Linked DNA regions of Macaca fascicularis. The protein of the gene in region 2 interacts with the protein of the main gene of each other region in a pairwise test. Links are inferred from orthologs where the notes say so. Each region holds a gene or a part of one and is shown on either strand. Other genes may lie near its edges.

The links.
Region 1: the proteins of DMRTB1 (region 2) and IL16 interact in a two-hybrid assay, tested with the Homo sapiens proteins (2 studies listed by BioGRID). The two-hybrid records come from large-scale screens. The link is inferred for Macaca fascicularis from reciprocal best matches to the Homo sapiens genes DMRTB1 and IL16.

What each region holds. Positions count from the first base shown.
Region 1 is NC_088381.1:58,649,128-58,652,875, forward strand, and holds the start of IL16 (pro-interleukin-16), read left to right. Parts: upstream 1-979; 5' UTR 980-1,102; coding exon 1,103-1,142; intron 1,143-3,748. UniProt on the Homo sapiens protein: Interleukin-16 stimulates a migratory response in CD4+ lymphocytes, monocytes, and eosinophils. Primes CD4+ T-cells for IL-2 and IL-15 responsiveness. Also induces T-lymphocyte expression of interleukin 2 receptor. Ligand for CD4.
Region 2 is NC_088375.1:181,219,560-181,223,307, reverse strand, and holds the start of DMRTB1 (doublesex- and mab-3-related transcription factor B1), read left to right. Parts: upstream 1-1,133; 5' UTR 1,134-1,156; coding exon 1,157-1,727; intron 1,728-3,476; coding exon 3,477-3,649; intron 3,650-3,748.

The DNA.
Region 1 (3,748 bases), on a different chromosome or scaffold from region 2:
ATTCAGTCTCACATTGCTATGTCCAGAAAATCATCACACTCTTCCACTAGAGGGGTGGATATTACTTTCTCAGGTTTCAGTTCTGTTTGCCCACTCACTGTATATTCTTTTGGTCTTTCCAACGGTGATCCAAGGATTTATTTAACCCAGCGGTCAAATTGGTCATTTTAAATAATAGTACATCTTGTCCAAGTCCAAAAATAAAATGTCCTGGTATGAGAAGGCAAGCAGAGGAAATTGGATAGAGTAGGCTGAAAACATTTTACAGCACCATTACCCAGAGCCCAAATCCCTTTTTCATTTATCCCTTTTTTGTCCTGGCATGGCAGGAGTCAGAGCGCCTTCTGTTTGTGTTGATTAAAGTCTGCCTCCACCTTCCCCCGAGCCCAGTTGCCCTTCTCAGGACACAGGCTGCATTCACCATGGGTCTCTCTGCCCAAGCTCTTTGCAGATTTTATGAAAGGCGTTTTCACTTGGATTAAACAGGCACTGTGTTTGTGTGTGGTGTGTGTGAAGGAGAAAATGAATCACTTCAACTTTGGGCAAGGATTTTAGGTGTTGTGTTTGTCCCATGCAATTACATAAACACACCAGAACTCATTAAAAAAAAAAAAAAAAAAAAAAAACACAGTAGAAGAGAGGGGCAGAGATTCAAGTGCTTGCGATGATCTAAACAGTGCGGCACATTTTCCATACATTAGACCTCAGAAAGGGTTGTGTTCTGCCCTCTCACAACAGACTCCAAGTCCAAAGGAAAGTTTGAGGTTTTACATTTCTGTTTGTGGTACAGGAAAAGGCTTATGATCTGAGGGCTTGATTCAGTGAAATAACATTGCCTTTATACACATTTGCTTCTCAAGGAGGGCAGGAGTTGGAAACGACCGTTGTGAAACGTTAAAGATTTTCTGGCAGAGGGAAAGGGATTTTTTTTTCTCCCTCCCTGCCGAGGAAAAAAACAGTTGTAACGAGGAGTTACTTTGTAGTTTTAACTCATATTCAAATACTCCCAGTCGAGAAGCTGCCATCGACCCTCCCATGGACCCCTGATCCTGGTTTGGAGGAACTTTTGACAACTCTCTCTCCCTCCTTCAAACCCTGTGTGATGAGTTTGCAGAAGAGAGTCTTCCCGAGAAGGCAGAACGGTGAGTGGAGCTGCTTCTCCTATCCCAGGGGACTCAGGGGAGGTTGGAATGCAGGGGTGGACCCTTCCTGACGACCTCCCAGGGGAGTGGAAGCATGGTTTTGGCCACACTGTGTAGTATATGAGTGAGTGTGTCAGTGGTGTGTGTGCTCACATGTAAGTGTGTGGGGGCACACATGTGTGCTGCAGTAGGACACAATGCCTGTCTTTGCAGAGGCTGGCTGAATGCTTACCATGTGCTTGGCAGAGAGTTCAGGAAGGGCAATTGCAGGACCCCCCAGGGATGAGAGTGAACCCTGGCCAGGGCAGTGGCTTTCCGTGTGCCCTGGCTTCCTCTTCATGGGGCAGAGGCATCAGTGTCTAAAACGCTGTAGCTGTCAGGGTCCCCACCAGCTCCGCTCCAGTTTCAGCAGAAGCAGAGCGGAAGAGGGAGCTGCTCAGCTCCGGGAGAAGTGAACGGAGCGCAGGTCTCTGGAGAAGATCTGAGAACTGGGAGGGGCCTCCATCCAGACCCCCTACCTTCCTGCAGGTACAGCCCAATAGATGAGAGCATTTCTTATTACGATCTTCTTCCTTTGCTCTGGAAACATAAACAGGCATCAGAGCAAAACGTTTTAACCCTTCTGCCCAACTTTTAAAGTTAACACTGGCGAAACTTCAGGTCCGTTGCAACTTTGGCATAAGAGTTTTCCTTAAAAAGGAGAAGTAAGCAAGTCAAAGGCATATTCTGACTTTTCTAGCTCCAGAAAGACATGGCTGGAACCCTGGCATCCGCTTGCTTAGGCTGCATTAAGGCATCTGCTGAAGTCTGAAGAAAGGCAGTGGGGTATAGGGAATAAGAACCTGGGCCATGGGGCGTGGCCACCTGGGATGGAATCTTGGCTCTGAAGGTAACAGGCTCCTTTATCTGGGAAAAGGTTTTCAAAGGCTCACTTTCCTCCTTTGCAAAACGGTGGTCATAAATTCTTACCTCACAGGAAGGCAGAAACAATAACTAAGATAAAGTATGTGAAATGACCCAAATGGCATGTACATATTCAGAGGACATGTCAGCTCTCCTAAGCAGGCTGCTCCCCTGTTCTGAAACAGCAACCATCATAGATATACAGGCTTGAGGATGAAGAAAAGAGTACTTGAGGGCCCAAAGTAGCCCTGGCTCTTTGTGTAGCAGAAAGTGGGGTGAGCATTCAGGTGGTCTCCCTTTGGAGGCAGACGACATGGATGCATTTACTTCCACTGGGGATCTTTGAGGCTGGGACTTGACCTGGTGTTTACTAGGTGCTCAGTGTTTGGTGAAACCATTTTATTCACTCTGATTCACGGGGAGGTCTTACCACTTCCTACCCTGGCTGCACTGCCTTTGGTTGCGTTTCCCTGGTAACAGATGGTGAGACAGAGATTTGCACATACAAAGTTCATTGGTGTGTGCTCTGGGAACAACACCAGTGTGGGGTGAGGGAGGCGGAATCAGACAGATGGAGAAGTTGGGCTGTGATGCAGTTGCAACACCGGCCTCAGCAGATCCAGGGGATCCTGTGGGGTTTTGTATCCCTGCAGTGACCAGTCATTGCTTGTGGGCTGCCCCTGGAACCCAGGCATAACCTTGGGCGAGGCAGCTGTCTTTGGCTGAAGGTAGTTTCTGGAGAGGGACTCAGTTGTGAGTTGTCACAGACAACCCTATGCCAGCTGTGGGAATGAACGCCTCGGCCCAGGGTTGAGGAGCTTATCTGGGCGATGCCCCATCATCTACTCAATACATTTGATGCAGTCCCTTCTTTTCTCTGAGTTAGGCTGTTAGAAGATTGGGCATTCACATGCAGGGACACCTGTCCAGTTAAATCCTTGCATAGCAGTGTGACTTTGGATAAGCCCCTTTCCATATCTGGGACTCAGTGTCCCCGTCTATAAAGTGGATGGAAGGGTGTTGGACTAGAGATGGCCCCTAACAACACTCCAGCTCTGCTATTTCACATATGCAGATTCTGAGCATGTGGCCATGGTGGTTGGATGTGTCCTTAATAATAGTTGGGTCCTGTGGTCTCCACCGTAGGTGCCTTGACTCCTGCTGGGAAATATGAATCGAGATACCTGGGGATCCTTGGGACTTGGCCAGCTGTCAGCAAGGAGGGGCTGGGCCTGTGGGAAGCAGAGGGAGGCTCTGCGTAGGGCTGGAGGGTGGGGCATAGGGTTTGAGGAGGATTCTGCTGCACACCTTCCCCCACACTCCCACAACATTTCTCCCCCCTCAAAAAAAGTAAAACCACATGAGACACTGCCATATGTCTTTGATAGTTAAGAGCTATGTAATGTTGCCCGGGACAAACTTGGATGTAGTTTTATTACTCTCTGTCTCCTCCTAATTTCCTATTTACTTTTCAATATACAAAGAGTGAAATCACTTTCCCAAACACTTGGAATTCATTTTCATTGCTTTTTTTCTTTTCTTTTCTCTTTCTTTTTTTGAGACAGGATCTCATCTGTCGCCCAGGCTAGAGTGCAGTGGCGTGATCATGGCTTACTATGGCCTCAACCTCCTGGGTTCAAGGAGTTCTCCCACCTCAGCCTCCTTAGTAGCTGAGACTACAGGAGTGTGCCACTATGCCTGGC
Region 2 (3,748 bases):
TCAGGAGGCTGAGGCAGGAGAATCGCTTGAACCTGGGAGGCAGAGGTTGCAGTGGGCCGAGATGACGCCACTGCCCTACAGCCTGGGTGACAGAGTGAGACTCTGTCTCAAAAAAAAAAAAAAAAAAAAGAAAAAACAAAACAAAAAAACCTTAATGTCCTTGGGTAAACTATGACGTTTGTGTTAGCTTTTCAGATGTCCCAATATTTGCGTTGTTTTATAAGGATAACAAAATTCATGATGAGGTTAAGCAATTACTGAAGCTAGTGCTAGACAGTTTTTTAATTTAATTTTTTAGAAACAGGGGTCTTGCAGAATTTGTTTTATTTAATTTTTTAGAAACAGGAGTCTCGCTATGTTGCTCATGTTGGTCTCCAACTTCTGGGCTCAAGTGATCCTCACAAGCAGCTAGGGCTACAGGCACAGGACACTATGCCAGGCTTAGTGCCAGAATATTCTGCCTATTTTACTTTAAAATATTCTAAGTATGCTTACTTTGGAAGGCATGAACATCAGCAATGTGCCATCCTCCAGAAGAGGATTTCTACACAAAGACTCTCAAGAAACGGGAATTACTGCAAGGGCATACCCTTGAGCAACCATCACACTGCACTGAGCTCTTGAAAATATTCTGGAATATCCTGGAAGCATCTCTGCACGGCAGAGAAGTGAAATGCCACAGAAGCAGCAGCTTTAGGGAGGAGAAATACGGTTTGCCTCTTACAGTGCTTTTCTACACTGAAAGCTACATTCCTCCCGAGTTTTAAATCTGTGGACCGTTGAATATCACTCCGCCTTTCCTGAAGTTACAAATACCTTCCGTCGGTGGCGGGAATAGAGTTTGGAAAATTACATGCCTAAGACTTCAGATAAGCTAAATGACATACATGCAATAGAATCCCATTAAGAATTTATGCAACCCAGTCCATTGCATCTAATTACCCAAAGCACAGAAACTCTCCAAACTGTGCACCCCCCAAAAGGAGGGAAAATGCAAGGTTCTTGCTGCAGTTCCCGGGACACACTGCGAGGTGCTTTGTTACAAGTGTATCCAATGTCCCCAGAACCAGGGACTTGTGGGGCGCGGCTCAACCCAGCGCCACTTGCTCTGCAGCTCCCAGAGGTGGTGGTTGTGCTACGAAGGCTGACCCTGCCAATGGCCGACAAGATGGTGCGCACCCCTAAGTGCTCGAGATGCAGGAACCATGGCTTCCTGGTTCCCGTCAAGGGCCACGCAGGCAAATGCCGCTGGAAGCAGTGCCTCTGCGAGAAGTGCTACCTGATCTCCGAGCGCCAGAAGATCATGGCCGCGCAGAAGGTGCTCAAGACGCAGGCCGCCGAGGAGGAGCAGGAGGCGGCCCTGTGTGCGCAGGGTCCAGAGCAGGCCTCCGGGGCCGCGGCCGCCGCGCCCGTTCCCCTCCCGGGCGGGAGCCTGCGCCCTCTGCCTCCGGGGACTCCCTCCGGAGACGCCGAGCCGGGACCCGAGGGCCGCGCGGCCGCCTGCTTCTTCGAGCGGCCCCCGCGGGGCCGGAGTCCCGGCCCGAGCGCCTTCCAACCGGTTCTGGGCGGCCGCGGCCACGTGGAGCCGAGCGAGCGAGCCGCCGTGGCGATGCCCAGCCTTGCGGGACCCCCTTTTGGGGCGGAGGCCACAGGCAGTGGCTACCCCGGCCCCCTGGACCTGCGCAGGCCGCTGCGGCCCGTGCCTGGCCCGCCGTTCACCGACTTTGGTAAGTCGTGGCCTCAGTCCCGCGGTGGACTCCCCGAGCTGGCAGTACAGGCCAGCCCGGATGGGCAGCTGGCATAGGGGTTTGGGGTGGGGAGAATGCTTTCCACGGGTAACGTACCTTCTGCTTTAAGAAACCCTTCTTGGAACGGGGATTTGGATTGGGTACCTTTTCGCAAAAAGGAAACATAAGGGAATGGGCGGTTCAGAGGGCTTTTTTTTTTTTTTTTTTTTTTTTTGAGACGGAGTCTCGCTCTGTCGCCCAGGCTGGAGTGCAGTGGCGCGATCTCGGCTCACTGCAAGCTCCGCCTCCCGGGTTCACGCCATTCTCCTGCCTCAGCCTCCTAATAGCTGGGACTACAGGCGCCCGCCACCACGCCCGGCTAGTTTTTTGTATTTTTAGTAGAGACGGGGTTTCACCATGTTAGCCAGGATGGTCTCGATCTCCTGACCTCGTGATCCACCCGCCTCGGCCTCCCAAAGTGCTGGGATTACAGGCTTGAGCCACCGCGCTTGGCTCAAAGGGCTTTTAACATTTAGCTGTAGTTTGTGCCATTCTGGCATGCAAGAACAAAATGGCGTCCAGTCGACTTAGCAGTGCTTCCTCCTCCGGGAAGAGGCCTCGAGGAGCCCAGTCCTACTGCGCTTGCGCACCTCTTCCCGCCATTTCCTTGGGCTGGAGGCTCCTCCTCCAGAATAAGAGACTTTTCCTGCCGGCAGGTTAGCGCAAGGACGACTGCGCCTGCGCACTCTTCCTTCCCTGTTCGCGGTCGGGAGGCTCCTCCCCTCAGCACGGCCCTGGACCAGTGCGCCTGTGCACCTCTTCCCTCCCTTTCCCCACGTGCGGGTGAGCCGAGCCTGCTGCTTTACTACACGTAAGAGAACAGTTGGTCTGTAAAGATGTTGCCTTTCTTTTTGCCCCTCACCTGGTACATAAATTACATTGTTCCCTGTGCCTTGGAGCTTTCGGTATTGAAGTACAGTTTCAAGTCACATGTACATTTGAAGCTTTAAAAGCCCCGGGGTTTGGTGTGGACGCGTTTTCCTGGTGTCTCCCCATGGTGGTGTCGTGGGACGGGCTGAGGCCGAGGCGGGAGCCTGGGTCACGCTGGACAAGCTCCTGCCCTCTGTGTGCCAGGGCATTGGTCCAGAGGCTTCCGCAGGCTCGTCCCGCCTTCCTGACTTTCCAGGAAAATCTAGGTCCCCAGGGAACGCCCCATCTGATGGGGTCACAGGTCTGAAACTGCAATTCTAGGAGAAGCCGCCTTTCTTTGTTCCATCTCAACAGACAAGCAGGGCTGGGCTGAACTATGAGCCAGGCATTCGTGATGAAGGACGCGGGTCACATTTCTTGCCCTCAGGGACCTTGTCCTTGTGGGAGGGACAGGGTTGATTGAAGAGTCACACAAATCGCTGTCCAGAGCTCGAGCCATGGCCGGGTTCACTGTTGACCCGGAGGAAGAGTAACTTGGCACGGAGGACTCGTAGAGGCAGAGTGTGGGCAGACGGCGTGTGGGCAGCGGGGAGCCGCAGGCCGGGGGCCCACAGCGGGCTTGATGGCCGTGCCGAGGACTCTCCAAGAGCAGCGGGGCTGGCTGGAGGATGGAGATGCAGTGAGGGCCCAGCGGAAGGAAGGGCGGGGTGGGCTTTCTGTGCTTGGACAGCAGCGCTTACGACTCCGCCGGCCTGTGCCACCCTGCGGATGCTTTTCCCAGCGGTGTCTAACACTTCCCTCCTTGCTTGCCTTCTTCAGGGCGCCCTGTGAGCATCAACCCGGACCGTGCACTGGGCCCTGAGTACCCTGGCGGCTCCAGCATGCACCCCTACTGCCCGTTCCCGCTGGGCTACCTGGACGCCCCTCCTGGCGTCCCCCTGCAGCAGGGCTTCCGGCATGTGTCCCGCAGCCAGTACCAAGGCGGAGGCTTGGTGAGTCCCACCCCTCATTTCTTGCCAGCTTCCTCCTCCTCCCAGCAGCCCCTGTTGCTTTGATGGATCCTCATTCCCAGGAAGCCAGCTGTCATAAAC